Linked DNA regions of Neodiprion lecontei. The protein of the gene in region 1 interacts with the protein of each later gene in a pairwise test. Links are inferred from orthologs where the notes say so. Each region holds a gene or a part of one and is shown on either strand. Other genes may lie near its edges. The genes, in order: calmodulin, myosin-VIIa and protein abnormal spindle.

The links.
Region 2: the proteins of calmodulin (region 1) and myosin-VIIa interact in binary tests that used the Drosophila melanogaster proteins (3 or more experiments, as listed by UniProt). The link is inferred for Neodiprion lecontei from reciprocal best matches to the Drosophila melanogaster genes Cam and ck.
Region 3: the proteins of calmodulin (region 1) and protein abnormal spindle interact in a two-hybrid assay, tested with the Drosophila melanogaster proteins (2 studies listed by BioGRID). The link is inferred for Neodiprion lecontei from reciprocal best matches to the Drosophila melanogaster genes Cam and asp.

Annotation. Positions count from the first base shown.
Region 1 is NC_060263.1:23,723,892-23,736,652, forward strand, and holds calmodulin, read right to left. Parts: upstream 8,650-12,761; 5' UTR 8,352-8,649; coding exon 8,349-8,351; intron 4,636-8,348; coding exon 4,461-4,635; intron 4,326-4,460; coding exon 4,083-4,325; intron 3,521-4,082; coding exon 3,492-3,520; 3' UTR 2,851-3,491; downstream 1-2,850. UniProt on the Drosophila melanogaster protein: Calmodulin mediates the control of a large number of enzymes, ion channels and other proteins by Ca(2+). Among the enzymes to be stimulated by the calmodulin-Ca(2+) complex are a number of protein kinases and phosphatases.
Region 2 is NC_060264.1:23,438,423-23,448,076, forward strand, and holds the start of myosin-VIIa, read right to left. Parts: upstream 5,164-9,654; 5' UTR 5,069-5,163; intron 5,050-5,068; exon of another isoform or gene 4,629-5,049; intron 2,071-4,628; exon of another isoform or gene 2,058-2,070; 5' UTR 2,029-2,057; coding exon 2,011-2,028; intron 1,516-2,010; coding exon 1,402-1,515; intron 1,324-1,401; coding exon 1,177-1,323; intron 840-1,176; coding exon 655-839; intron 545-654; coding exon 423-544; intron 323-422; coding exon 66-322; intron 1-65. Other genes in the region: angio-associated migratory cell protein, read right to left, coding at 6,562-6,634, 6,705-6,886, 6,966-7,142, 7,229-7,428, 7,499-7,643, 7,888-8,144, 8,239-8,443. UniProt on the Drosophila melanogaster protein: Myosins are actin-based motor molecules with ATPase activity. Unconventional myosins serve in intracellular movements: can function in cells as a single-molecule cargo transporter.
Region 3 is NC_060261.1:34,028,230-34,038,014, reverse strand, and holds the start of protein abnormal spindle, read right to left. Parts: upstream 5,820-9,785; 5' UTR 5,644-5,819; coding exon 5,632-5,643; intron 5,401-5,631; coding exon 5,227-5,400; intron 5,066-5,226; coding exon 3,553-5,065; intron 3,466-3,552; coding exon 3,261-3,465; intron 3,176-3,260; coding exon 2,978-3,175; intron 2,900-2,977; coding exon 2,745-2,899; intron 2,670-2,744; coding exon 1-2,669. Other genes in the region: peroxiredoxin-6, read left to right, coding at 6,085-6,170, 6,579-6,735, 6,831-7,048, 7,120-7,192, 7,672-7,809; chromodomain-helicase-DNA-binding protein 7, read right to left, coding at 8,733-9,785. UniProt on the Drosophila melanogaster protein: Required to maintain the structure of the centrosomal microtubule organizing center (MTOC) during mitosis. May have a preferential role in regulating neurogenesis. Required for germ cell mitosis and oocyte differentiation.

The DNA.
Region 1 (12,761 bases):
CAGATGCAGAGAGTCACGAACTTGGCTGCGCAAAAGAGATAAATAAAATTGCTGACAGCATACTCGTCGGACAGAGAGAAACCTCATCGGAAGGCACCTTCCACTTTCCGTGATGGGTCTACGGCTGTCGTGTGTATTTGTCTAGACCATTTATTGTCGGTATGTCAATCAACTGTGGGTGCGTTCCGAAATTAGTTGGTAGCGCTAAAAACTCCCTAGGACAGAGGCAGACCTACTCACGAACTCGGCAACGCAAGAGATAAAAGATTGTCGACAGCATTGGGTGATATCGGAACGTATCGGAACGCAATGCGACAGATCACCTCACCTGGTGAATTTTTCTGGTAGACAAATTCCTGTGAGCTTGGTGCTTTTTCTCTTCCTCTAGAATTCTCTATCCGCGGTCTCGCTGTCTCTGTACAAACTTGCGATAGATGAATTTTCAAAGCACCAAAGCGTTTGATTTCAACAGTTTTTATACGGTCATATTTCACATTTACTTCACACCAAGTCCATCATATCATAGATAATGAGGATTTAGAATAACAAGAAAAATCCTTAAGTTGACGAAAATTTTGAAGAAATACAATTTTGAACATAAAAGCTGGGCTTACGTTCCGTATCATTGTGATAATTTTTGATGAAATCGACGAACCTGCGTCATTCTAGGCAGTTAAATCGTTATATACAATGCGTATGAAATCAAACTATTTAGGGGTTCCCTGGTTGATTTCGACGTATCGTATATATCTCCAAAGATCGAAGTCCACCCCTATTCCATATGCAAGTCTGAACAAAAACAGTCTATACATTTTCATTTGACGCAGAAATAAAGAAATGCCACGGATTCTTCGAAATCGCAATAACAGATTAGTACGTTATCTTTGCACATTCAAAAATTTTCAAGTTAGATTACGCAGGTACTAAGCTTGTTGAGATGCCGACTATTTTACGATTAACAGTGAAACATGATTAGCATTTTTTCTGCTTCGAAATAGCTATGATCAGCATTTAACTAATCAAAGGTAAAATAAAATCACTAGAAAAAAGTTGACTTACAAGCTTGTACCTATACAAGTCTTGTTGAATTCGGCTGGGAGGAAAAAAACGGAAAAAGTGCATACCGAATGCAGATTCCTTGAAAAAACGGGGCAACTGATAATAACGGTCAAGTGATATCAATAATGTCAGAAACGTCAATGAAACGAATAATAGATATATACCACTTGTTCATGTGTATGTTAGTCAATTAATAAGATCTTATAGGTAAAATTTTGAAAGTTTGTCTGAGTTTTTTCTGATATCAATAAATCGATTCATAGTCTGCTTTTGAACGATTGACTGCAATCTGTCGTAGATTGATAATTTGGACCACAGTTGTGGATTCACAGTTGGCACTTAGATATATAGGCCTCATGTGCACTTCTTAATGTGTTTTTACTTAATTAATTCATTTCTTGCCACTTTCAGGTACCAAAATGCGTGATCAATTAATCAGTTTTCTAACTATAGCTATTCGTGATTGCTCATGGATACATTTTTTTTTAACCTGACATATTTTTTGTGAAACCCATAGTCTATGTTATTCCCAAGAATGTAAGGAAGACGTGGGTTCAAATTCTCTCTGAGAACACAGCGGGTCCATCTGTTTCTAGTTTTTCACATAGAATGCCTTTTTTACAGTACATAATTCTGCTATAAATGCATCTAAACAATGGTTTGAATATACTAACAGTGGATGTTAATAAGTTTTTCTCACACGTACATTTTAAAGTATATCAATCTGCAATAATGGCATCAATGCTTCTTATTTGTAATAAAACCTGGACGCCATTCTAAATACTGTACAAATTATACTATACAGTGATACGCCTGGCGTCTGGATATACATTTTCATGACTCAGCAAGCCATGTCATAATTGATCAATGCGTGATGGAGATTGATTGAAACACAATACGGTTATTCGTCTATTATTTTAGATCTTTCTTCGTAAAGGATTATCAAGATAAAAAAAAAAAAAGTGGTAGCTACAGTTTTCAAAGGATGCAAGGAATTCCAAAAGGAAATGACAATTTTGTGACCTAAAAATGAGGATACATTTATTTTGTCTTTTATAATCAATGCAACCTAGGTCACCAAATACATTATTAAATAAAGACTGTGGAGGAATTTTAATTTAATATATAATATATATTACATGTATTATGACTGATCCGATGGTCTTATATCGGCGTTGGTTAAGTAACATTAAGACGTGTGATGGCTCCAGCCAACCAGTCTGTTTTGCACCATTAACCGTGCAATAGTCAAACTAGTGCCAGAAAGTGCACCGATCGATAGTTCGAAAAGTGGTGCTGATGTTGTGCAGTGCAGTCCTCATTTTGAGGAGAAGTGTGTCGTGTTCGTTTGTTTGTCTACAAACATGTCAAATGTTGGTCATGTCAGGTTTAATCGAGTGAGGGCGTTATTCATACAGTCCGGGATGAGAAGGAATGTTAACAGGGTCAGTCAGACACGATCCCTGTGTGTCCCCACTTCCTTTTACTTTACGTGGTGATCATTATGGTATTAAAAATTAAATAAATATAAATATATATATTTATTTATGTACATATGTATGCATATACACATATGCATATATAAATAATATATCTTTATATTTGTTTTTGTTTGTTTTGTTGTTTTTTTTTTTTTTTGAAAAAATCAAGCATTAATTAATATTTCGTTTGTTGGTTATCTTTTCTTGTTTTTGTTATGTTACGTTACGTTTTCTCACATATTAATGTATAAATTAAAAGTATAAACCAATACTATTTTAAATTACTATTAACCTATTGATGGGTTGATACATTCCTCTGTCACATTGAGCCGAGTATCATGCCACGAAGTATTATTTAACACGGACATTTTTTGTAATTTTTTTTTTTTACATATCAGAATGTGATTCCGTTATAGGAGTTATAATTTATAATACTACGATACATAAATTCCAGATAATGTTCAAATAATGTTCCTTTTTTCTTCTCTCTTTTTAACTTTTTTCCCATTAAACACGGACATGTAGAATTAAAACAAGATACGAAGGGTAGTTTCAGAGTTATTATTAATTCAAACACAATACTTGAATATATTTCTTAAAAAATTACACAAACTTTGAACAAAATTTGATGATTATCGCAAATGTTCTATAGTACTTTACTTATTACTTGTAAATTACATCAAACTTTATTCAAAGGTCTACTCCAACTTTTCATGATACTGTTAAATATTTCCAATTCACGATGTATTAAGACTGGAAAGCAGAAATGCAGTTTCAATATTTATACTTTAAGATTTTGTTGCCGACGATGAAGATGGTTGGTATTAATTATCTTTATTACTTATTATTATAGTATTATGTTAAGTGTTGATGATAGCTTTATATTCTGGTATTCACTTCATTATCAACACCACTCCTAGTTGTGAATTATTCCCAAACATGCGTTTGCATTCACTTTGATGTCATCATTGTGACGAATTCTGTAAAACATAAAAAAACAAAGAACAGAAATAAATACGTATATTTAATTACAAACTTTCGCATTATTTCACGCAAGTTAATTGAGTCATTAAACAATCAAAATGTAGATAAACTACAGGAAGTTGTCTATCTAAATTCTAGTGCAATATTAACACTCATAAATAATTATATTTGATCGTGCTTGAATGTTTGTAGAAGATATTTGACGAACATGTCAAGCAATTCCACGTGTAGTATTACACTTTCATTCACGAAATAATTGTGGACACAGCATATCAAAGGTTAGATAAATATTAGCAAAGCTACTCTTATAACGCATGTGGGTTCTGTGGTAGAAAAGAAGAACACTGAATGAATTACATTTGTCTCTGCCAGAACGGTCTTTTCAAATGTCTTATATCCAGACAAGTGGATCATTAAACATTAATGTCTGAACCATTTCAAAATTTGGACGAAAAGATAGATTATCTCATGTATTTTCTAAGTTCGGTAATTTTCACGACATAAACCTGAGGTGAAACCAAAAACAAGCGGAAAGAAAATAGTTTGAAGACTATTTACCTTCGTAATTGACTTGCCCGTCACCGTCGATGTCAGCTTCTCTTATCATCTCATCAACTTCTTCATCTGTTAACTTTTCACCAAGATTTGTCATCACATGTCTCAACTCGGCGGCTGAGATAAAACCGTTACCATCCTTATCGAATACCCTAAACGCCTCTCTGATCTCTTCCTCGCTGTCAGTGTCCTTCATCTTACGTGCCATCATCGTTAAGAATTCGGGGAAATCGATGGTTCCATTTCCTGAAATGATTTTCAAAGATGTAAAAAATAAAATAAGAATGAAGAATCTGGATTTTTATTGGACATGATATACACGGGGAATTATAAATGGAAATGAACAAAAAATCAATTCAATTAGCACTGAATAATACACACCATCAGCATCTACTTCATTGATCATGTCTTGCAATTCTGCTTCCGTTGGGTTTTGACCAAGTGATCGCATTACTGTACCCAATTCCTTGGTTGTTATCGTGCCATCGCCATCCTTGTCGAAGAGGGAAAACGCCTCTTTGAATTCTGCAATTTGCTCCTCTGTGAGTTGGTCAGCCTGTGTATAAAAGTTTTAATGTTTTTACATTCAATACATAGAGCCATGTCATAACATTTCTTTAAATTAAAGGGTGATTTAAGGGAATATATGATGCGGGAATACCTGACCATTTTAATGTGACCGTGACCTTTATCATTTCCAATTTCATTTTCCTGTTACTATGTTGTAGCTCGTATCATGGTCTTTGTAATAAAAAAAAAACCGTGTGCCCTTAATTGGTAACGGGCCTGTATTTAGTTTGGGAGATAAGAACAAATTCGAATAAAATAGAAAAAGGACTATAGTAGATCACAACAGGATTTGAACACAAACTGCAAAATTTCCATGTTGGAGATTTTTCTTCTGGCGACTTTTTTTTGCCCTTCCAACTTTTTGTTTGAAAGGGAACAAAATGAATCTGCTCATATCACCAAAATTAAATACATGCCCATCTTTCTTCAACACAGGCTGCAAAGTTAAGTCTCTCATGAAGAATTCACGGTGTAAATTTCAATAATATGAATTCCAAACTCACAATACTTTGGCCTTCAATTTTGCAAAATGTAAATCTATCACATCATTATTAGGTGAATGCAGAACTTGCAATAAAGAAAGAACCAATGGGAACGAATAGATCTCGATATTCCATAGAAAAAATGTCATTACTGAAATCATTTGTGAAACATCAAATGATTCTATGTTTGTTTGAAAAAAATGTCTGTTACAACTATTTAGATTTCCTAGTTCAAGTAGCATCTGCTCTGGTTCCGAGTCAGAGAGTTGATTATTCCAAAGTCCGGACATTAGTATCATTATGCTTCAAAAACTTAATCAGAGTCGTGATAAAATTGATTTATCAAAGAATTCTTTCAGTAAATGTCATTCGTTACAGATATTCGCTTTTGCAATGAGTTGCCATTAGAATCGTGATCTGATGCATGGAAATTGAGTCTTGGGATGTTTTGTCCTTACCACTAATCATTGCAATAAAATTTTATAGATATGAAATAACATTTATATGACCTCATAAATACAGGGCAATAATTGTGCTTTAAATACGGTACAAGTGTAAGTAAGAACTTATCAATATAATGCTGAAAAAAAAAAAAAAATAAAAACCGGGCATATGTTTATTACTACCTCAGTTGGACTCAGGTCTAAGAATATCACAATGTGCAAGAAGAAAATTAGAAGAATTCTGCATAAAATTTAATCCTACAATTTCTGAGTAAATGAAATGTATCTTCTGAGTCACTGTACACCACTAATGACGTTGCAGGCTATAAGTTTATAATAAATTCATGTGGGAGTTTTGATGCAGTTGTACATAAAAATCAAGAATTATACGTATTATACGTATGGACGAGAGTTCTCTACATTTATGTGAACTGTTTTAATATGCAAAATACTTCTTGACCACATCCGATATAAACTCAGTGACCAATAAATGACCATAACAATAACTTACAATTAGTTTCATTCATGCATATTGCAGTTTGCTAGATCAGCAGCATTAAAAATCGCTAAAATGAAAATGTCTAAGATAAATATCTTTGATCGCAGACACGTTTCAATAGTATTCCTGGTAATCACTGGTAGTATTACAACAGTCACGCCTCAAAGATAAAATAAATATGTCAGACTGTTATTTATTGATTAATCGCATTAGGCTCAACTGATTGAAGGATAGATTTTATAAATTATCAGATAAACCAAATAGTAGTCCCAAAAATTGCCAAGTGTCAGTGATAATGATTTAAACCAGATTTTGATAAGCAAATTTTTACACTATCCAGCAGCATGCAATAACCTGGTTAAATAAAATACTGCTACCAGTGAACAATTTTGTTTTTTGTTTTTTTTTTTCGACCTTTCACATTCAGCAATAAACACGCTTTCTATAGCAGTTGGTACAGCCTGTGCCAGAACCTAAGCAATCAATTAGATCATCGCTTTAGACGTATTTTATAATTCATTTTAATTAATAAGTATAAGTTAATATTAAAGTAAAGAAAGTTATTTTCACCACCAAGCAAGTAAAGCCCGAAAATTTATCTTCTTAATCTGATTTTAAGAAACATATGCGTCTATGTTATTTTCTTGTTAACGATTTTTAGTCTTATCTGTACTTTGCCCAATGTATTTTAAATGAAACTATCACATCAAGTGAAGGCAAAAAAAAAAAAAAATCAATAAACGCGTCGGAGAAAATCGGACAAAATCTTTGTACGAATACACATGTATAAATTATATTTATAGACGTACCATATCGCGATCTTGTTAAAACCTTTCGGCTTAGGGTATTCGGTGATAACGAAATGAAAAAAATAACCTCACTACTCTTCACAAATCGAAGGTTCGAACGGTTCTGCCGTTTGCGGCAAAACGCTGCAGGTGAACCGAACAACGTCGCACAGTGGCAGGTTCGCGAATTCTCGGGGTGGCGCCGGCCAACGGGTCGAGGGTTGGGAGGGGAGGGGTTAGAGGGGGTGGGGGAGGGGCAGGAAGGAGAAGAGGTGGCAGCCAGGGACCAGGAAGCAGCGAGAAGGGGGTTGGGGGGAGGGAGGAGAGGGACAGAAGCACGGCGGGACCGGAGGGAGAAAGAGAGACAGAAGAGGACATGACAGAGCTGTACTGAGCAACTACGAAAATCAATAGCGGGTGTATAAGGCCGCCATAAAGGCTGCCATACTATTTACCGGCCTTTATATGGAGCATCGTGCGCAAGCTTGTATTCATTTATTTGTTTATTTAATCGTTTACTCCGATGATCGTAGAATCCAGTGAACATGGAAATATGAATGATGTTCTATTTACAGGTATATTATGCACGAGTGAGCACGAATAGGTGGAAATTTTGTGACTAACATAATTTCCGCTTACACGTGGGTAACGTATGTGTATAAATATAGGCTTCTCGATAAATGATACGAAATGAGAAAACGGAATTCGAAGAAATTTAGGACGGTAGAGATCAGATTAATGAAACAGTGTTCCCGGTGGTAGATTGTTAGAACCATGATACAAGTATCTCACCGTAGAATTGCGTCGATCGTCTAGAGCGGTAATAATTGTTATGATGTAATATATTGATGGTTATACGACTGAAAATTATCGTTTGGGCATCGGAATACGTGCATGTTGTAAAGCAACGTAACAGAACGTCGAGCAGGTAAATGAAAAATGGAGAAAAAGAATAGCGGGATTTAAAATTGGCATGATTCTTGCGAGGTAGGCGGAATTTTTTCCGGCATTCACAATTGCCGATGACGAGAGCACCTCGAGTCGCGACCCGGTAAGAACTGTCAACTGGTGAACCTTTAACGGTACAACGCCTTCATCAACACCAGAGTCCGGTGACAAATTGATTCTTTACAGTGTCTAGTAGATTGATCAGATCTACCGATATTTTGATAGACCACAAGTTACGTCGGATTCATTTCAATTAGAATGAGATTAATTATTAACGATAATTCTGTAGCTATATATTTATGTGTATATACATATGTGTATATATAAAATCGAGGCAAGCCTAGCGTACGATATAACGGAATAAAACGCAGTACATAATTCGGCTAGAATGTCGAATAGAGACAGATCTCGAGCAGCGAGCAATCGGCCGGATTCCATTACTATGTTGCGGGTAAAATCTGTGAAAGTTGTCGAAATTTCGATATTCCAATGATTGCGAATAGGTAAATGATATTGAATACGATTAATCGACAACTCACCATTGCAGATTCTCCTAGATATTACCGGCACACTACACAAACTCCACTACGAACCAGCGCCGCTGACACGAAATACACTTCGGACAATAATGGAAGAGAGGGTCTCTCAGTCGTCCAGGCAATACTGTGTTACTACGCCACGATAGCGATGTCGCACATAACTGTGAATAAAACTTGCGCGGTGTTTGAAAAAGTTTTTATAAATTAAATGAAAAAACTATAAAACACAGGAATAATAATTTATCATACATTTATTCACCGATGAACCATATATATCGAGGTCTGAGTTCGGATTAAGTTTCAGCCGCGCATGTGAGTAGGCTTTATAAGCGCTGGGTGCGGTCTTGTTTACAAGACTTCCTTGTCGACTCGTCTAACGTCCAAACTAAGCTCAATTCTGATTGGCTGCTACGCACCTGCAATGCGTCAACCACTAGAGCCTGTACAGTTTGCGAACGGGTCAGAGTGGTGCTGGCAGGGCTAGCTGGCTCTGGGGTTGCAGCGTGCGCTGCCGGGCTGCCTGCGTCCCTACATTTTCATCCCTCCTATCCTCCTGCGTCCTTCGTTCCTTCATTCCTCTCGGCCCTTTTCATCCTTCTGTTATATTTACGTACCCCGCCGGCATCTCGCCACCACCAACGCTGCCGCATATTATGCATTCAAATGTATACGATGTATAATTATTGTAAAATCCTCGCAGCTGAGAATTTTTAAACAATTTCTAAGTTGAATTTCATTCTTATTAGCCTGCAAGCCGTCTCGACAATAGAAAGTAAAGTTTTTCAAATGAGAATTAAAATTTTTCTTCATTATTTTGCATTCCATATTATCGCTTTATTTTTACCTGTTACAGTATGCGAATTTTTAGGTGCGAAAATATTTAGGTTGAAAGCGAGGAAATTTTGTTGCATAAAACGACGTAAATTCCTAATATGCAATATAATGGTTTGGGGTGAAATTTTCTTTGCGTCTATCGAGACGCGTTCAAACCGCATACCCAGTGCGCATTGGCTATGCGCAGGCGGGCGCGCAATGCGACACAGGACATAATCTCGTTAGAGATTCCTGAGAAGTGAGTTAAATCTTAAAACGATTATATTTATCAATGGTCTAGCGCACGAACATGCAGGCTTGACGATATTTATTATTGACTCTGAAAGCATTCTATAATTTAAACTATTATCTTGTCGTATGAAACGAAATAATCGCGAAATAGACGAGAAATCATATAACTGTAAAGAGCACATCGTCTGTAGTTGAGACCTTTTTATCTGTGCACTCGCAGTTTGGATATCTAGAATCGGAACGAATATATTATGTATGTAACTGAAAAAATTATTTGGTGCAAAATAAACATTGATATATCATTATTTTGAAACGTATCTAGGCTTGGAAAATACGTCAAAAATGCCAATGCATGATAATGTCTATTTTAATTATGAACACATTTTTCCTTGATCAATGTGCAGTACAAAACTAGAACTCACACGTTATATGCTTATACGCTCATATAATTCAGTATACATTTCCGATTACACGTGATAAAGTAATAATGATCCAGCATAATGACTGTGCTCAGAAGAAAACACGTCTGAGTGTATAAAAATTAGCGAACACCCACCCATTAGCCGTTTCATCTCATGTCTAATTTTCGTTATGAAAAGTCTATAATAATTATATACACGTGATAACGTTGACGTGTTGACTACCCACATGCACACGGTGATTATCTGCCGTGAATCATATGGGTATATACGTGTTTCTTTTCTGAAAGCCTGTTATGTAATTTTGAGTCACACTGTAGTCACACCGTTAAATGGAAGAGGTAACAAGGCGGGGACTACCTGCTGATAGAGATAAGCATGGGAGAAATTCGTTAGGGCGGATGACTAGTGTGGATTTTTATCAGATAACAGATAATCAGCGGAGATGCTGTCATTGCTATAATTGTGTAGTATTTCAAACACGATTATACACCGGTTGAAATATTGGGTTTTTAAGAAAAAGTGTAGGAATAATAGACGCCTGTTACTCATTTTATCTGTTTATAGTATAAAACATATAGCATGACGTAAAGCTTTCGTGTGTAAAATCCGTCAGCGTACCTAAAAGTAATCAATGTTTAGAGCCTAAACGGGGCATCGTGAATAACGACATAATCATAAATATCAATAATTTCATTCCACGCGATTTTCGATTCAGTTACACGTATATACCAGCTACCTGGCCTGATTATTGTAACTGTGTCATCGCAGGTATCAGCTGACGTCGCCCATCAACGCAGCGCGCACTGTACAGAGAACACGTACCTGTGATGTGTCTCTGAAATATTCGCGCGTTTATACACTTCGTGTAGAAAAACCTGTGAAAATCTACCTGGGATCGCATCGGATAATATTATCCAGCCTTATAAATTATTTACCTTATTCCTGTAAAGTAAGCCGCGTGCTTGTGCTCGGGTATGTATAACACGTACACGCCGCTACCAAAGCCGAAGGTAAAGATCAATGCTGGCCGACACATACATGGTAAAAATAAAAAAAGTAAATTCAGCGATAATGCTTGTTCCTAGGGGATAAGTGAACCAGATCTTCAACTGAATATTAACAACAACTGCAGGTCGGGACTATAAATATATGCTTCCGATCTGTACGTCCTTGAAAAAGTCAGGCTCGCTGCAGGTGATCATAAATACTGCCAGTTCGTTGAAAAGTTCGCGGAATAATTAATAATAATTGGTAGCCGGCTGTTGGGGTAGTTAATCAGTTAAATAAGGGTATGCGGCAACTCTTGACAGATAATGATTACCGGCACACAACGGTGCGAATATAAATTCCTACTCTTATTGCAAGCTCAAGCTTTGGAGGGATACGCGAAGGGCGTGCTACACAAATAAATGCTCGTTATTATACTGCGACTCCAAGGTCATCTGAACCGGCAACGTTACCGCAATTAATCTGCTTGATTAACTAAACGGCACAAACTTTTGTAACGTATTATATTTTTGAGCAGCCTTATCTCTGTGATCTGGAATACTTCTTTATTGTTGTACAGCGAGATTATAACCATAATCGCGTTCTTACATAAATACGTAGTACATGTACATACGAGTATATGTACGATAGCTATATATGTATAGCATGCACTCAAACGACAATACGTATCAGGAGAAATAATAAATCCTCGTTGTACCTTCAATAATTAAACTAATTCAAAAACGTACACTTTGAACTTGACGTCGTATGAATAAATAATCAACCCTGGCCCCACCAGCGAGATCCAGAATAAGTCGAGAGTCGTTAGGGAAGTAAACCGACTTTCCAAATCAATTTCAATGAGTAAAACAAACAGAATTGGAGTGTTGACTATTTTCATAATAAATCGTGGGGATTGCGGGAATCTTCAGATTCGCTAATTCGTCAAAATTTTTATTATTAACTTATCGTTATGAACCTGTACTTCGTTTTGTCAACTGGAATAGACGATTACCATAGAGCTTCCTCATCGTGCAATCATCCTTATTTTCCAAAAGCCTGTCCAAGCCTACCCTGTATAGAGTACTTCGGGCCATTCGAAAACTGTTAAGCGGGCAAAGCCCATGCTACACAAATATACATTATACATGCGTATGTACTCCTTAGCATATATAATACACATAGCTGTAAATGCTGATATGTATGTAGCCGATACGTGATCGTTATATCGTACTTATACGAGGTTCTGATAGCTGTAAGTTTACAATATCATAATTTGTACCGGTACAGCAAACTCGCTGATTCGAACCAATCATTAAGTCAGTATATAGTTCAGGGGGCATTAACATGTAAACTGTTTTGTTGTGTATAGGCACACATTTGAATTAATCACCGATACCTAGCGTGAACTTTATTAGAACGTTCTATAAAATTTAGGGCTAAGTGATTACCCTAATCGCATTAGTTAGTCAACTAAACGTACAGCTTCACAATGGCTGGGCAGAACGCGTATAATTGCGTTTAAAAAAACTATTAAGTACAGTATTAATTAGGACATGCAAGTGAATTGAGTTTTCGTGATAATAAAATTTCCATACCTTTGACCTCGCGTGTAATATATCTAGCGCAGATTTGACCTGCAGATTGTTTGTAGTGTTATGCGAGAAATTCTTTAGAAATGCCATTAATACAGAATATCCGTGGTGGCAGTAGTTAATTAATCTATTGTTATAGTATACCCATCTTCATTCATAGCACGAATAACTGCTCAAAGGCAGTGATAATCTTTATACATAGTCAAGGATCCGTCACTGATACAGAAAGCATATGAAATTAACAGCCAGATAATGCGAAAGTATTACCTAATGAGATTATTCTCGTTCCTACCCCATATCTTCTAACGAATCAACGATATTGAGTTCGTTATGGATTCTTCATA
Region 2 (9,654 bases), on another chromosome or scaffold:
TTGATTATACGCATTCGTTTCACGGTAAGAGAGGTAGATCATCAACGGCAATATGCAATATTTACCCCTGTCAAGTATTTGTATGTAGAAGCATCGTCCAGTTCTAACTTTGTCTTCTCTTCTCTGGAAAGCCCGGCGAGTATGCAGTAGAATATATGATAATTCCTTTCATCGGTGCTCTGCGATACGATGCGTGATTTCTCAAGGAGATACTGCTCTATCTTGGCTCCCTCGATCACCCCGAGCTCGTTGAAATGGATGTCAATGTATTTGCCAAATCTCGACGAATTGTCGTTTCTTACCGTTTTTGCGTTTCCGAATGCTAGAGACAGCGATTAAGGTTGATCGGGTAAGCGATTGCTTAGCAGAACAGTTTAAGCATGATAATATGTAAAGAAATAGCATATTCGGAATCTCCTTGCCTTCCAGAATGGGATTAGCCTCGAGTATCTGTTGCTCTATCCAAGAATGTTTGCCGCTAATAGCAGCGAGGTATTGAAGTATTAGCTTGGTGCTCTCAGTTTTTCCGGCCCCGCTCTCTCCGCTGGATGAAAAAAAAAAAAAGAAAAGGAATATCAAGGCCTGAGTAATTTTTCCCTAATTCAGCACGCCCGGGCTTCATGATCTCGCTTAACTGTAAGTTTTTGGAAGTACCTGATCACAATGCACTGGTCCTGCCCATATCGTTTCATGTGCGTATAGCTATTGTCTCCTATGGCGAATATGTGAGGCGGCAGTTCACCTATTTTTCGATCTTTGTAAAGTTTTATTTGTTCTGCGGTGTAGATCGGCAATATTTGATAGGGGTTCACTGCGACCAATATGGACCCAGTATAAGTCTATAAAAGAAAGTGAGGATCATTCGGGTGCAGTGAAACTATTAATTGAGCCCCACTGGTTACTCTCGAATTTGATACTCCACAGCGTTAGTTTATTATTTAGTCTATTATCAGCAACACAGCGGAGGGAGGGAATATATTTAAGCCCTGGTAAAGACTCGCTCCTAGTCCATAATCGTCTCGAGCATTGAGCAAAGATATGTGTTTGCTTTATGAAACGAGTGATAAAGTTATAAGTGAATTGCACCGTTATGTCTTACTCGGAGCATCGTCTTACGTGGAAACCTGCGGAATGTTTTATCTCACAGATGGGTCTAGACTAATGAAAACTGCTTACATATATGAGATTCTCGTTGTAGCGGATGAGAAGATTTCTCAGAATACCAGCTTCGTGAAGGTCTCCGAGGCTGATCATGTCTTCTACGCCCTGGACGGACGTAGCGTGCATCGCCTTTATCCTCCGCTCTGGGGTCAGCCATTGTTCCTACAACAAGGATAACTAACGAGTATGAATAACCGATCAACGATTACCACCTGCAATATTTCGGTGTTCTGCGAATACCTTATTGTCGTCGTCTTTGACCTGGATTCTTCTACCCTCGGCCGATACGACGCGAGCCCCGATCGCTACGTCGAACTCCCTTCCAGATACGGGCTCGATCCATATGTAATCTCCCTATAAAATTAAGAACTTTTAAGGTTTCGCGCGAGCGCCGATTGAAAAGGTAATCGGTCAATTGGTGTTAATTGATAATCAACGGAGCAGGCTTCAAGTAACTGATGTAAATCATATCTTTCTCCACAGTATCGTATCATACTAGTTATATCAATAGTGGCGTGTAAACAGATCTTGACAGCAGTCCGAGCAGCGAAAGATCCTCGTTAATTCCTCGGCCCATTTGCTCAGCCACCGGAACATCGGAAGAGCACTTCCGCGCTCGGAACTGCTGCGGAGGTCGCCATTGCGGCCCACGCCCGATCGGCATTCACCATTTACAAATTCGGCTGATCACTGTTTATTTTTATTTTTTTATTTCTTCTTTTCAATGGGCCAATAATCCACAGAAATCAATGTACACGTATAGCTGCATGATATAATGCATAAAACGGAGCGAATCAGATAATAAACAAATGGAGTGAATAATTTGTACACAACGTCGGGTCAACCTACCCGCGTGACGATGACCATCTCTCAAATCTTGGCCGCTGTCCCGCCACCTGAAACAATAATCTATAACGTTATTTCACGATGATTGGTACACGATTGTTTCCCTCATCATCTCCGAGCGCGTAAAAGTGCGTATACTACGTATTATAATAATACGCGCAGTAAAACGACATTTATGGCACAAGCGTAAGTATGTAACGCGACAAGGCTGTTTATCAGGCAGCCTTCGAGTATCATAAAAATCCATCATCATTACATAGATCCCGCATTCCCGCGGCATATCTTACAGCCCACAGCGACTTGTAACGGGCACGGGTTTAATTCAAGATGCGCGTGTACTGTAAGCCTGTAACTTCGACGGTGTCGAAGAGGATGAGGACGTCGATACACGCACGTATTGTACGTTGTACGCGTAACATGCATACGATGCCCGGAGTGCTCTATTCGGCCTCGTACGCAAAACAATCACCGGCCACGAGGTGCAACGTGTTTCAGTGTTGGGCGTCGGGGATGTAATTACCATAAGCAATTATCGCGCGAACCTGCACCGGTACTTACAACAGTAGGTTGCTGCTGTTGCTGCTGTTGCTGCAGAATACCTAGATCGAACCTAGATATTTTATTCATTTAACGTGCGCAAACGGGCCCCTTTCCGTTTCTCATACCGATGCTGTTCTTCGAGACCCGTCGCGCCGCGGCGAGACAGGGGAGTTGTTATCCTGGTCAATCACCGTTAGCGCTCACGGTATAAGAGCCAACTTTAAACCTGTTTGCGAAGTGGGTTAGATATTCTGCCTGTATACATTTATACACGTACAGTAAGTGTGTACACAGCCGCGCAACCCGGCTGGATAACACCATCGTCGTCGGTTATATCCGCTTACGCGTTTATACATATAAGACTCGATAGTCGATAATTCGCGTCAACTGTACCTATGCTGAAAAATGAAGCGCACATCCGATTCGCTGACGACGATGTTTACGTGTGTGCGTTATGTCTAGTGCTCCGGACTAAATTGCAGATCTTTTCTTTTGCTTACCCTCCTGCGGCTCTCTTCCTCAACCGCGGTTCATTTTCAATATAGCTAATTATCACCAATCTTCATGGTACGTGACTCTGCACGTCGAGAGAGGGATGGTGAGAGTTCGTTGTATTGTTTACACAACGCGTAGGTATATCCGAGTGCGTGCGGTCATATTTCTATGCACTTGTTTATCGGATATATTATATGTCTTGTCTGCATGTTGGCTGTATGTGCAGGAGGGTACTAATGAGACTGAAGTTAGTAACGTTAAGGCCACGAAACATTCAGGGAAACATGATGATTTTCGCTAGTTTATAGTGACTTTGAAATAGTTCAGTTTTCGAAATATGAATACGTTTTGCCTTATTATGATTTACTGCATTTCAGACATTTCTGCAACTGTGTAATAACGATTGTTTCGAAACGTAAATCATTACAATAACGTTACTAACTTCAGCCTGATATGTACTACGTAACGCCGCGCGCACGTGCGCGACCCGAGTTAAGCACGACTCGTAGATGTGAATGTATAATTCATACCTAGGATAGGTATGTACATGCATACATACACATCGAAACTTGGATTTCGAGAATATCAGGCATTCAAATCACATTCGGAGCTCAAAATAATGTAATTAAACATACAGCTAACAGGTCTCAAAGTGAATCGGGATGGTTGAAACGGTCAACCACTACATCGGGTGGCGCGTTTAGTTACTGTTATAAAAACATGGAAAATCTCAGTAATTGAAGCAATCAGAGGTTAACAAATACTCCAATAGATATCGAAGGATCGTATACTTGTATGTGCATTATAAGCACACGCGCAACTGTGCCAACATTGATCATATGACATAACGAGCTGATCTGACCGAATGCCGCGTTTCCTGGGTACCTTATAAGTCATACCTAATGCATAGTATACATGCTTACATCACAGTATACATGCGTACTGAAATTGCGGGATCGTGGCGACGCGATAATTTTACACGACGTTTAATTATTACTTTTCTCAGGTATGTATGACTCATACTCATAATTGTTGTACCAAAAAAATTTGCACGCAGCTATATATACACCGTTTAGTACTGTAGGGAGGAAGGAAAAAGGTGTCTACGGTAGAGAAACCGGAGTCTGAAAAAATTGTTCTCCGAGTGTACTTGGCGCGAGAGCTTACCGAGTCTCTCGATACGCCCGATCGGGAATCCCGTACAACAGCCAGGGTATTAAGCAGCAGCAGCAGCACAGCAGTCATTGACTGCAAAAATATATGGGGAATTCACGATGAAGGAAGGAACGGTCAGCGGTAACGGTAGGCCTTACAGAGTTCGATTCCTGCTAGACGCGGCGGAGCGTGAGAGAGATGAGAAATATAATATTTTCTATACACACGATCGTGTATCTAGGCGAAACTATTGAAAAAGCAATTGACCGAGCTTCAAAAATCGGGCGTATCAGTGTATAATCCCTAAATGAAATACAGATCGCCGTAGTAATTTTCCAGTGTCTCGTGCAGAGATCAAGGTCCCTGTCGCTTCCCACAATATTACGTGTATGTATTAACATCGATTTGTACGTAACAGATGCTTAGCTCACCTTGTTGAATACGCGTAAGTAATTGCGGGTGTATTAATCGGCTAAATCCCAAGACTCCATAAGGCGGCACACTGCAGAACACTGATCGGTACTCGGCGACCTTTCATTCCCAAAATATTCACCGTCTATTACAGGTGTGGAAGATCGAATCGTTAAAGTCGCGGCGATTTACGTAAAAGTAGAGCGCTAAGAAGGCGCGCGTCGCGTCTCGAGACCGAGGGTTCGCCGATAACAAGATAATTGTAATGAAACAAGGGTAAAGAAACGATCGAGAATAATATCCGAGCAGTTTTTAACGCCGAAGTCTACCTTTAACCACTTATACGGCTACAACGGGCCGTACGGGGTACGCGGTCACCGGCACATTAACACCACACTCGCTCGGGGAGGTTCGGTTTAGATCGGAAAGTGACTGTGGCTGTCGCCTGCCTTATGCCTACCTGTAGCCAGGTGGAAGTGGCGGCGTGCTGCTCGCTGTGCTAGGCGAGTAAGGCGAGGCGCGGCAAGGTAAATAGCTGACTGAATGTTGACTGAATGGAGAGCGCGAGTCACGGCGATTCGACGACCGCACCGCGTTACGGCAGGTGAGCGAGAACAGGGGCAATACTTCGAGGACGAGAGGCCCCACCTGACGTCCCGATTTGAACTCACCAGGGGAAGAAATCCGGAGAAGGAACGAGGATGCAACGACTACCTGCCTGACCTACAGACCGCCTCGCTCTCACAAGGCGGATTCCTGATGATGATGATGATGATAACTGATTCGAGGAGGAAGAAGAAACCGAAGCTCGATCGGGAGGCAGTGTTTAGATTACACGCGTTTCTTAATTCTTTCCATTCGTGCTATTTAGGCATCGCACTTATTCCCGTATGCGAGTGAGGAAAACTTTCTTCCTCAGCCTCTTGCGAGATGAAGACACTTCATTTGCGAATTGTGATGAAAGTAGATCTTAAGGAATCGGAGCTTAATGTTAGTCAAGACGATACCGATTCTTCAATAAACCCAAGTTTTAATCATTAAAATAAAGGGGAACCCCAGGTCTACTGATGTATCTACATTGTATGTGGGCATTCACATAATTGCGCATGATGAATCAATTCCACGCAGTCCGAAAACGTTGCGAGCAACATATCAAGATTAGAGCCGAAAAACGAAAGATTTCGTTGGCAATTCCACTGCTGTTGGACTCACGCTGTTTTTGATGTCTTTTTCTGATTCCTGACGGTCCAATTAGTGGAATAAGAGCACTGCAAAACGAATCTCAGACGAAAACTTTGCGAGCTCTGAAAATCGCACAAAAGCAAGGAAACCCTTTGGATTTATTCAGTTGAAATTTAGCCGATTTGAAGAAATGGTTAAATTAATTCTTTGTGCACTATATCGACGTAATTTTTCGAGAGGAATCGATTGCACACAGTTCGAATACGGTGCGAGCATCTGATCAAGAGTTCCAGCCGAAAAATTAAAGATTTGTAATCTTTCCATTGCTGGTCTGTTGCTCGCTTTGCTAACTTTTTGTGCTCCTGAGGGTCCAATTAGTCTACAAAGGGCCATACAAGACGATACTAGGACGAAAAAATGTTTTGCTCGAAAAATAAGACTGAATTTTTACTGAAAGTTTTGACAGTTTTGAAAAATGCTGGAATCAACTCTTTGACGCGCTATAAATCATACATAAATGGGGCAAATAATAATCGTAACAATTAAGTTAACAAATAATTCTTTACTGTTCAGTATCTAGTATACAATATAATACAATTTATTTTTCACCATCCTTGATTCATGTGGAAATTTGCTGAGGATAATTATATTGGTGTGATTAAAGAATCACGGGTAATTATCCTCTATCGTATGTCGATCAAAAATCGTTTTCTCCAAGATAAAACCCGCATTTTTGTGATCAATGGGAAATAAATCCTCTTTTGTGATGTGTCAATTTGGATCACCGATATTGAATATCCGGGCAGTGGAGTCATCCGAGGTGGTTAGCATTGTCTTTCCATCGCTATAAAACCGAATCGGTCAATTAATTTAGCTTTCGTTTACGACCGTATAAATCGTTGATTGATTCTTACCGAGAGATTACCAAATCGAGAATATCCGCGTGATGTCCCGTATAGGAGCGAAGCTCTTCACCAGATCTTGCGTCGAACGATCTCACCACTCCGTCAAGACCCGACGAATACAACCGTGTTGTGTTCAGGTGCCAAACCAGCTTGCTTATGCCACTGCTCTGCTGGATCTCGTGCCGAATCATCTGAGTTAAGAAAATCCCACATTTAGGCATAGCGAATGACAAATAATCTTGCGATTCCACCTTCACCATTGGGACCCACCTGTTTTGCGATGTCCCATATGAATATCTGTCCGTTTACTGTGCCTGAAACAGCAACTGGATACTCCGGATCTTTGCAAAATGACACCGCTTCCACCCAATTTCCTTCGTTTCCCTCAGCATCTTCGTCGCCACCAGCAGAGACGTTTGTTTTCAGGTCTTGAAGGACACGGGTGACCTGATATTTGTTATTTGAACAATCAACGGACCGAGTTTTTTAATAACTTTGTTTCGAGCCGAATGAAAAATTAAGAGCGTTCTTACCTTGCCAGACTGCGAAGTAGTGAGAATAGTTTTTCCATCCATCCCACCTGATATTAGCAGATTATTATCAGAGTTACAGTCGAGGGCGGTTATCGTAGAGCTGTGACCAAATTCAGAGGAAATTGTTGACAATACTGCTCCGGATTTCAGGTCGAATACTCTCAGTGTACCGTCTTCATAACCAACCGTGATCCGTTTGCCTGTTATTGTATTATAGAGATATAAGTAGGTAAATCTCGATGCGGTGATAAATATCTGATATCATCTTACCATCACGCATAATAACCCCTTGTTCAACCCGCTGACCGTGACTCTGAAATATTTTACATTCTCCACTAGGTATTTTCCACATGTATAAAACCCCACTTGATGCTCCAGCAAATAGAATGTTAGCCATCGGATGCCACCGCATCCACTACAAGATAAATGAAATATAAAGAAAACTTAACCATCCAATGATAATGGAGAAGTTAATTCTGAGATTGCTTGATAACCGGAAGGACCGTAAAATCGTATTTTGTGCTGCAATTCAATTGCAAGCATTTCCTATTACTTAATTTTTCAAATTTGTTCAATAAATTTCAATTCAGCAGCAATCCAATGTAAAATTTACCATTTATCAAGATGGAAAAAGTTAGGAATGTGATAAATAAGCCTACCGTCATATCGCCCATGTTGTAGTCCCAGATAAGAATTCTGTTGCTCATTTTCCACACCTGAATAATGCCATTCATATCTGCAGTTGCCAGATAAAACCCATCATGGTTGAACTCCGTAAAAGTGACACTATCCGAATGACCGGTGCAATTGAGTACAACTCGTCCCGAGGAAACCTCCCAGACATATGCTTTATCATCTTCCCCACCGGTCGCAGCTAGCGTTCCATCTTTATTCAAAGCTCCGCAGAATATAGACCCTGGACACCGGAGTGAAGGCTTGTGTAGACGATAATCAATGTTGTCAGAATTACGGGATCAACAAACCTTGCCAAATAGCATAAGGAGACTTACCTTCGTGGTTACGAAAAACATAGGCAGCGTCGTCCTTAATCGGTTGTTCCTCGTAGCTTTCGGCCTCTTCCTCGGAGTCTTCGGTTCTCTCATCTCGTTCGAGGGCTTCTATGATTTCGTCAGCATCTCCGACGTATACCAGCTCATCCTCGTCCATTTCTACGTCGACAGAAGGAGAAGACGGCGGCGTGTCCATCAGTGTCATATTGTTCGCCGTTCAAACAGTTATGAGGCCACGTGAGATTATGCTTTACTTCATCAGCACGCGTTTCTGGTGTCCTTTGTGGAGGTTAGAATACCACGCGACTCAACACGGGAAGATCAGTTTAGGTTAAGCATTACACATATACAGGGTGGTCGGTAAAATCACCCAGATGAATATCTCCGGAACGAAATGAGGTATAGTACATGAAAAAGTTTGATACAAAACTTGGAGGGTTTAAAGGAGGAAGGATGATGCTGATGTCATTTGGATTTTGCAAGTAACGTCTGATTTCAGATAGGGAACACGTATTATGGGTATAATCAGTTCTGCTTTTGAAATCAAATTCTCTTGCACCCGCTCTGAAAAAACTTGAGTGCCTTCACATGGAAATACATAGAATCCCACGCATGATAACACGCCACTTGCCGCCCGCTAGGTCAGTAAACTTCTTATATGGGTGAGAGGACCTAACTCTCGCCTATGGAGCTCGACCTTGCTCTTATATTTTATATACGCAAATTAAGCACAGAAAACTGCCACACTTCGGTCGCGTTTTCGTTAATTCCGATCGAACGAAAATTGCAGCGAATACCTACACCGGATTCAAAATTGTACAATCACATGACTTATTGCTGTACTTGTCAATCCCTTTTTACGCGTACGGAATTTTTGTTGACTTTCCTTGATTAGGCGGGGGCGAGGGAGGGCGGAGGACGTCGTAATTCTTCAAAACTATTCACTACGTGATAAACAAAGAAAGGTCAAATTATATTAGAATATTCTTTTCTTTTTATTCGGGAGAGATAAAACGAAGCTTCTTAAAACTTCGAGTGTATTTTAACACATATTTGAAAGGTATGAGCAAAAATTTGTATCATCCAACTGTCGCAACACAGCAGCGTTATTAGCTGACCCGATAACTGAAGAATATATCTTTAGTCAATGGTTGACCATGAAGGGCCTAGACGCTTGACTCTGGAATCGGCAGGAAAGATAAAGTTCGTATTTCTTGTCTGAAATGTAAGCACTAATATCATTATACATCATATCATATCATCATACATCATACATCTTACGTCATATCATACATCATACATGGTATTAAAGTTCGAAACCAAAGTTTGGATGTTCGGATTTTCAGAAAGTGACGTCACCCAAAATTTTTTTTCTCTTGACGTCATCGATCTACAATAATCAGCTAGCCGAATTCC
Region 3 (9,785 bases), on another chromosome or scaffold:
TTTATTAGCTCGCCACTTTTGCTGAATGTAGACAACACTGTACCTTAAAATCTTAAACTGCTTTCTAATAGAAGAACCTATTTTCAATGCTCTGTACTTGTGTTGTACTAAAACTGTTGTAGATTTGAGTAAATCATAATGCATTTTAGCTTGTTTTGCCGTTAGACAAGTTCTCCACCATGATTGTATCTTAACAGCAGCCCATTGTTTTGCTAGAAAATTTTGCCTCTGTATCTGTGTCAATTTTTTAGCTTTCCAATTTTGTTGGATATAGATAACATTTCGTTTTAAAGTCAAAAACTGTTTTCTAGTCAAATTACCAAGTTTATGTGCTCTGTACTGCCGCTGAATGTAAACTGTTTTTGATTTAAGTAATTCATATGACAGTTTTGCGTCATTGGCTATTAGGCAAGCTCTCCACCATAATTGTATTTTATTAACTGCCTGTCGTTTTTTCATAAAATTTTCTCTGTGTGGTTCCATTAATTTTTTGGCTCTCCACTTCTGTTGAATAAAAGTAACATTGATTTTCAAAGTTAAAAAGTTTTTTCTAACCGGTCCACCAAGTTTACGTGCTTTGTATTTGTGCTGAAGAAGAATTGTAGTAGATTTCAATAGATTGTAATAAGATTTTGCTTGTTTTGTTGCAATACAAGCTTTCCACCAGAATTGTATTTTAATAACAGATTGCTTTTTCGCCTGGTATTTTCTTTGTGCAACGACCATACGATATCTTTTTTGAATCATTATTGCTGCATTTCGTTTGTAAAGGAATTCTTGCCGAATCTGTCTTTTCAATAGCGTGGCTCTCCATTTACGTTGTATAATAACAGTGCTTTGTTTCAATTTGTTAAAATTGTCCGCAGTTTGAGACGCAGCTTTATTAGCTCTAAAACGACTCTGCAGGGAAACAGTTGCTGCTTTTAGAGAAAGAAAATAATAGCGTACCTGAAACCCAACCCTCCAGTTTCTCCAATATGATTGAATAACAATTGCAGCTTTTCGTTTCAAGATGTATGATTGTTGTACAGATTTTGCAGTTCTGATTGCACGCCATCTTCTTTGCACAGTGACAACAGATTTTTTCAGTGATACGAATGCATTTCTTTGGAGCCGACAAAGTTGAATGGCACGCCATCTTTGTTGTAAAGTTATCACAGCATTCATTTCCTTTTTCAACAAAGCTTGTAGCTTTCCCTTGACCGAACATTGCAGCCACCATTTTTCAATTAATAGTACAGCACCTTTCATCAGTAAGAAATTTCGTCGATCCTTCCTGTAAGCAAGTTCACGTATCCACCAGCCCTGAATAGTTTTAATTGAGATTACTTTCTTTTTATATTTTTCCCGTTCAATTTTCATAAGACGATTGCTTCGCCACTTGCGCTGTACCAATAGCGTAGCCTTTTTAATGGCTTGGTAATGGTTGTAGGCAGTTTTCTCAATTAATTTTATTTTCCACCAACGCTGGATTTTTGTAACAGCATCCTTAAGAATTAAATAAGTAGACACTTGGAGCCTCATCAACTGTGTAGCACGCCAGTGCTGCTGAATAATACGACAAGCAGTTTGTTTTTGTTTAAAAGCCACTACAAAGAGATTAGTGGCTCGGTAATTCCTCCAGAATTTTTGAAGTTTTACAGCAGACAATTTCATTTGTTTAAATTGTTTTTTTTGTTTCCACATTTGCACTGTAGCAATCCATTTCAATTGTATTACTGTAGCAGCTTTATTTTGCAATGACAGGATAAGCACTCTTTTTTCCCTGAGATATTTTAGTTGTCTTTTTGCAAGGTATGATCTCCAAGCTCTCTGAATTACCCAAGCTGCATTATGCTTTCTCTTTAATAAAAAATTTTTTATTCGTACCCACCAAAGAGTAGCCCGCCACCATTTCTGGATTATTACTGCAGCTTTATTAAAGTGTGGGGCTTGGAACTTGTATATAATCTGCCACAGTAACGAGAGCGTCTTTTCTCTGTGACCGTCTGCAATACATTTGGCTGTAATATTACCACAAATGTTATAGCCGGAACTGGTAAGTGCTTTCAAGGCAACATCAACATTGTAGACTTTTTGTAGTCTTGAGATAGCAGGTACTCTGCAAACAGCGGTCAAATTTCGTTTTCCTGTTATGAGCTCCATGATTCTGCACAGCCTTACACCATCTCGTAAATCGTGGGAAAGATTATCAACTGCGTAACTGTACTCATCCAACTCTGTTTGCTTGTGGACTAAAATATACCCATAGGGTTTCAAGACACGTGTAACATCACCAACACCACTGAGCAGCTCTTGAGAAAATCGTAGCAAAATCTTTTTGCTTTCTTTGTAAGCTGACTGTTTATGGAAGAGGCATGGATCATGCCCGATCAATTTATGTGTCTTCGCATAGTCAAGAAAATAAATTATGAAAAGAAACTTTTTGAGCATGAACTTATTCATGACAGTGAAAAATGTGGGAAGGCGCAGATTTAGGACTGTCGGATGCGAGTGAGTCTTGACGATATGTGGATCAGCAAAAAACCTTGTTAAAAGAAACTTACTCAAGCGAATAATATCATTATTTGAATTAAGTGGGATCGTTTCGCCATATATTGCTTCCAAACTAATTCGTAACCACAATGGGTTATAGCACAGAAGTAGTTCCAAAATCAATTTCTGCAACCCTGGGAAATTGTACAAAAAATTAAATCATTTCTTGGAAAAATTCAGTTGCTTTTTTCCATCATAATATGCTTTACCAATGTCTTTATGAAGATCGCGATCTTGTCTAATCACTAGAATTCCTTTTTCAACACATACAGTAACTTTTGATAATACGGAAACAACTTCATTGCTGCAAAGCAATGTGCAAGCAGCTCTCCGTAGTGTATTCAGTCTTTGATTAGTGTGATACCTGAAAAATTAGTGTGGGTCTTTAGCAAATTTGAAAATTGAACGTTTAAATAAAAGTATGTGTATAAAAAAAAAATACCTGGCAGATAGAGCTTCCTTAGTTTCTGCAAGTGAAACATCTTCCTTTGATCGGCATGTTTGCCATATTTTTGCAACATCAACTAATGGAGTATCGACATTAGATGTCAGGTGTTCAGGAGGAGTCAGTAGCATGTTTAACCACTTTTTAAATTCCAATTCCTGGTTTTTCACCCATTTATCATCATAATACAGAGTGCTGTAAACAATTATACCATTTTGAGAAATGCACGGAACTCAAACCAAATTTGATTTATCCTCCTTTAATTATCTGAAGAAATTACACTGCAAGAAACGGATCTTCTGTCGTAGTTGCAGCAAATGGGTCTGGATTGCAGAGTGTAGTGAAAAAGTCATCTGGATCATGTAGCTTCATGCTAAGTTCAGGTTCGAAGACTCTGTTCAATCCACTATTGATTCTCTTTCTAGACACTCCAGCAAGTGACAGCTTGGTGATTCGCACCCCAGGAATAGAGACTTTACCACTACCTGAAAAAATAAAAATTAAAAATTAGAGACTAACAGACAAATTATTTCTAGACTATAGTGAGCTGGAAATTACTTGGCTAAGCTTACATTTCAAAGATGTATTCATAGCAACTTTCTTTTTGAGATGTTGTATTTCTTGGATACTTTTTTCTTTGCTAATTTTAGAAGATTTCCTTGAAGGTATCTTTCTAATCGGTGAGGTTTTTTTGACAAGGTTATTAGTAGGCGGTGAAAAATCGAATCTGCAATTAGCCCCTGTGGTAGATATATTTGGAGTTAGGTAGTCGTTACTCGATTTAACATAAGTTTTGTTTGTTGTTGAAGTCAAATTGAGACTTTCCTCCCGAATTGATTCCAAACTTGTTGGCCCACTTTTTGCTATTAAAACAGAATATTGGTTCACTGGTTTTGCCCATAAATCAGCTCCCAAAACTTCCTGAACAGCACCAATATCGGACTGTGTGGTAGACAGATTAAAACTTTCCCATTTAGCTCTTAAATTGGAACTAAAGTCTTGTTTTTCATTGCTCCAAATCGGCGAAGAAGACGTTGCATATTTTGACATTCCAGGCTCTACAACTGGCATAACAGGAGACAGTGTTGCAAAAGTTCTAGAAAGCCTAGTAGGTACTAGGAGACTGCTCGCGCTTTGTTCAGGGAACTTATCCAATGGTACATGTAAGGATTCTTCAATATCCAAACCCTTAGCAATTTCAAAAGTGTCGTTCTTATTGTTTGCTGCAGTAATGAATTGAAAATTTTCAGCAGTTTTGGTAAGAGGTGTATTCGATGTAAAATTTATGTCATTAAGCAGCAATGAAAAATCTGAATTAGGATTGGATCTAGCCTCCTGTGGGGATAAAGAATCCTCAAAGCCATCTCGATCATCTTCGTTCATATGAGTACTGTGTTTAAAAAGAGGTGCAGTTACATAAGTCTGGCGTCGCAGTTCATGCATTTCAGAATTAGGTGATGATTCTGAGTTCTCTAAGGCAGTATTTTCCGATTTATTTGTATCGTTTTTGAACCACGGATGTGGAGTTAAAGCAAATACATCCGATTCTATCAGCATAGAAAAATCACGAGGTTTTGCAGTTGATACATTCAATGAATAATCTTGTCGATGGCCTAGAATCCCTGCGGAACTTTTCTTTGGAGTTTGCCAATCAGTGACTGGATAAGTAGAAATATTTTCCTTTCCTTGATATCTTGAAATGCCGGAAGACTTGTGCCTATTGCAGGGAGAATTGATATTGTTGGATACATTTTCAGACATGTTGAACACTTTTTTCAACTCTGATTTTTTTGTAGGGTGTGCATTCTGAGTAAGAATCTTTTTTCGATGATCCAATATATGTTGCTTATTTTCTGTGTGTTTTTCAACAACTCCATGTTTTTTCGAACATGTTGTAGAAGTTGTCAATGCAATGTCATACTTTATGCGACGACTGTCAGTTAATTGTATTATGTCTCGGAATGTACCATGTTCCCTAGCAGTCCAGCTTATGATCAATTCTACGTCCTGGCCAGCCTCAACTCGCAATTTCGACAAACTGAGCACGACGGATCGTTCCGATGGTGGTTTTTTTGTAACATGGATCTAGAATGATGCAAAAATTTTAACTTTCTATTAACAAAATGCTTGAATTAATAATTTATCTGGTATATCAAGAATAATTTCAAATGAGATTGCCGTTTAAGATACAATCAAAGCTCTCCGGTATTGTAAATTTTTCTGAAAAGCTTCAAGCTATTAATTACATTCAATAGACGATTGCTGGGGTTACGTAGGCTCAAGTAGGAATGCGCTGTTGTATTCAGAGCAGTTTCGATGTGGATACGAGTTTGGGGTTGAAAAGGAGCCAACAACAAGTTGATCTTTGTGTCTGGTTCTGTGTGCATGACAGCACCCTTCTCTTTGGGTGTTATGTTAACCTATGTACAAGTAACAAACAATTATTAGGTATTTAGGAATAATAAAAATGGCAGTTGTGTCAGCATAATTGGTTGTTGAATTCAAAGAACGATTCAGAAATAACTAAAGTAATGAAGTTGTGTCCTGCAATAAATTATGAAAAACGAGATGCTGGGCATGTAATTCATAACAACGTTAGAACGCTACAAATTTCCACGTAATACTGTAATTTGAATTGCTTAAAAAATTACCTCAAAATACATGGTTGAGAGTGAAGTGAGCTCAAGGTAATGTTGGCTCACGAAAGTAAGAAATACATCTGTAATGTTGTCGTTATGAATACACTTTGCCAAAAACACCCACTATTCAACGTTCAACGGTTTAGCCTCGCAAGATACAAGTTTGAATTTCAAGCTTGACAACTGTAAACGTACTCTAGGCGTTACGAAATGCGATGAATATAGGCTGCGTTGTATCAATGACCTCACGTCCGAGTTCACATCAAATCGAAAGTGCCAGAATTCATCTTAGGTATCCTTTCACATAGCAATCGCATATTCGATGGTTTCCTACCAATCATGTAATGGTGAGGAACGTTTTGTTGTTGTTTACATTTTTTTCTGTTGTCAGGCAAAACAATCAAATTTATTGTAATCTTGTTAATCGAAACGATTTTTGGTTACGAATCAAAATTGTCCCTCAATATGGTTCTACTCGGCGAAATATTTCCGAATTTTACAGCAAACTCTGATATCGGCCAGATTAAATTTCACGAATGGATTGGAGACTCGTAAGATTCATAAATCTCTTTCGTATAACCTAATAAATCTTACCGGCAGGGCTGAGTTCAGAAACCTTACCCGAGTGAACTCGGATATCATACTGTCTCTGTCTGACACATGAGATTAAACGAAGACACAACGATACTCGAGTCACTCGAGTAAGGTTTCTGAACTCAGCCCAGTCGTGTTGACATGATACTATTCTCTTTAAGATGTACTTCAAAGCATTTTTTTTCTCACCTCGCGGTTCTCCAAAAAGATATTCGAAATCAATCTGTTTTGTTTCTCATTTGGCAATCAGTAATATCCTTTGCTATGTATTCAAATTATTTTAATATATTGCATCTCGTAAATGATTACAAACGATTGATGTTTTTTTTTCTTGTTTAATATTAATCAGCAATTCTTGTTCTTAGCTGGGCAATTCTCTTTTCTCATCCCAACGATTTTACCCCAGTCTGTACAACAGAATTGGCAAGAGTAGCAAAGTTGATCCCAGAATTTGAGAAGCGAAGTGTCAAAGTTATTGCCTTGTCTTGTAATTCTGTTAAATCACACATTCAATGGATCAAGGTGCGAAAAGCTGATAACTTTCTAAAGGAACATGACTGAAGATCTATGTAATCAATAATTCCATGCCAAATAAAATGGTTATAATTCATTTTCAGGATATTAAAGCCTATGGTGAAATTACAGAGGCGAACTTTCCATATCCTATAATTGAAGATGAAAGTCGCACAATTGTGACAGCTTTAGGAATGCTCGATCCAGATGAAGTTGACAGCACTGGCTTGCCCGTTTCAGCTAGATCAGTTTTCATCATAGACCCTAAGAAGAAAATGAGGCTCTCAATCCTTTATCCAGCTACAACAGGAAGGAATTTCGAGTATACATCATGCCTATCTTTGTCTGAAGGAGGAAAGTAATCTTATGTTAATGTGTCATTTTTTTTTACAGTGAAATCTTGAGAGTTATTGATTCTTTACAGTTGACGGACAAACACAAGGTAGCAACACCTGTAGATTGGAAGGTAATTGAAATGAAGAGTAGATTGTGCATCGAGGAGGCAAAGTAGATCTTTTTACGCTAAGTGTAAGTTTGTAACAAGTCATAGGTGAGTGCATGCACGAGCCAGACAAATACTGTAATACACGTGGCGAAAAAGACTTTACCTCCATGGTGCTCACGATACTTTATGTAACAAAAGTGTGGTTGCAAGTGTGGCGGCGTTGTTTTTATAACGGAGTACAAAAAAGAATACTTTTAGTACTAACACATAAGTGTATTTTTTTTTGTTCTCTAGATACTTTTTTCTTCACTGTCACACAACAATTACATTATGTACAGTACACAAGCAAAAGACTTGCAAACCATACTAGTTACATCAAAAATTGAATTATCTCAAAATTTGTTACGTGCCAGCCAATAAATTTGACAAATTGGCCTTGGATGGTTTCCAAAAATTTTACAAATTTTCTAAATACCATTCACGAATCACAACTTTTTTAGAACGGAGATGATGTTATGATACAACCTACCGTCAATGACAAAGATGCTAAGTCTCTATTTGGGGATGACATTAAAGTTATAAGTCTACCTTCTGGTAAACCATATCTTCGTAGCATTCAACAGCCTATAGACTCTTAACTTTCTCCATGTACGTAATTTTTTATATGGAACAATAAGAACCAAATATTCAAGTATCAATACTATGTACATTCTAAAAAATGAGAGTAATTTTTTGTGGCAAGTGCCTTAGTTGCCTGATTTCTCATACGAACCATAAAATCTTCTTATGTATGTACAACATGAATAAATTTGTCTGCCAGATAAATTGCAAACAACGAAAGAAGCCGTTTATTATTATTTCACCTAACGTATAATTAAAAGTACACTGCTTTATATACACTTTTCCAAGTACACGTGTTGCTTACAATACCAATCGGATTCCTTAGTATTTACATGATTTTTTTAAATTATTCCTAGTTTACTTTAACTACCTTCATGAGTAAGATTATTATGCGTATTATTTTATAAGTATGTATATCAGTGATAGCAATAATCAATAGCATGTATATAAAACAGTCCCTGGTCAAAACCAATAAGATCAAAAAAGGTAATAAATTTAACGAAAAAGGGAAAAATTTTTTCAACTCGATACTACCTATGTTATCATGTAATTGAATGTTAATTACCACACAAACTAGGTATTACCTCGCAAAATACTGTCACATTTTTCTTATGTGTGTTTGCTTATCACACGTTCACTTGTAATAATTATTATACCTATAATTGTCAGCGTATTTATATTTTATTCGTATGTATGTACCTCGTGTCCAGCTCTCACGATAAATTACTATCAGTTTTATCATTAGTTTTTATCAGTAATATTAATAGTATCATTAACTTTATTATCATATATAATAAACTCGCTACAATCATCGTAGTCCATTTTAATACAATTATAACGATCACCGCTACGTAAGATCAGTCGTCGTTCAATGTACTCCATTAACGTCTTATTTCAACCTATTTATCCGCATATTCGATGATAAAATACATTCATTCATTTACTCTGTGACACCGTGACTTTCTCGTTGTTCGGCAAGCTGTTGTTCACCTTCCAACCGAGCCTGCCTCTCAGCCGCAGCTCTCGCCTGACGACCAGCACTAGATCGAAGATTCTTGCGTTCCGGAGGAGGATCATTACTTAATCGCTTGACATTCCGAGTTTTCTTTCCTTTGCCTTTTACATCGTCCTCGCTGCTTTCGGTGCAACTCGGTTTACTTTCGGTTTTTGAGGTGGTGGGCACTGGATTACCTTCTACCTGAGGAGGTTCTTCGGGTTCTTTAACGTTGCTCGCGTTTGCAGTTGGCAGAGACGGAGTCGTTTCTTCTTCAGTTGATTGCCTAGAAACTGTTGTTGGCCGTAAGAGCGTCTCTACATCAAGAGGCTCACTGGTAACAACAGCTTTCACATTGTCAGGTTCGGTTACCTTGACCTTCTTCACAATAGGTTCTAGAGTTACTTCCAATGAAGGTGGTGGATCGTAAGTTTGATCCGCACTACGACCACGCTTTGGTGGTCGTTGAAAATCCTCCAAGTTCCTAGTCAGCAGTTCTGCGCTTGTTCTGCTGAGCTGTTCCAGAGCTTCCTTCATCTCTTGTTCCTTAGATTTCCGTTCCAGCCTTGCTGACAAGTCAGCAATTTGGCTGAGCTCGATTATTTCTTTCTTGTCAGGCTCTGTACGCTTTTTGTCATCACTGTGAAGAGCCATTTCAGCATATTGTTGCAGACTCAAACCCGGATCTGTAACATATCGCGATTTCTTTTCGCTGTCTTTTCGCTTCATGGTATCTGCTATAGAATCCCTTTGGCGGGAAGTGTTTGACGTAGATGTAGTCTTGCGTGACGACGATGTGGATGTTGGTGGAGTGAGAAGTCCACATTGAGCGAGACTTTCATAGGCAGATGATACTCCACCAGGCTGCATTGAAAATGGATTGAGACCACCGAGACCGAGCGGGGTATATAAAAGACTAGGATTGGGAAAGAAGAATGGGAAAGGGGTTGTTGTAGAGAGGGATGACGATGTTGAGGTAGATGGCGCGGATGATTTACT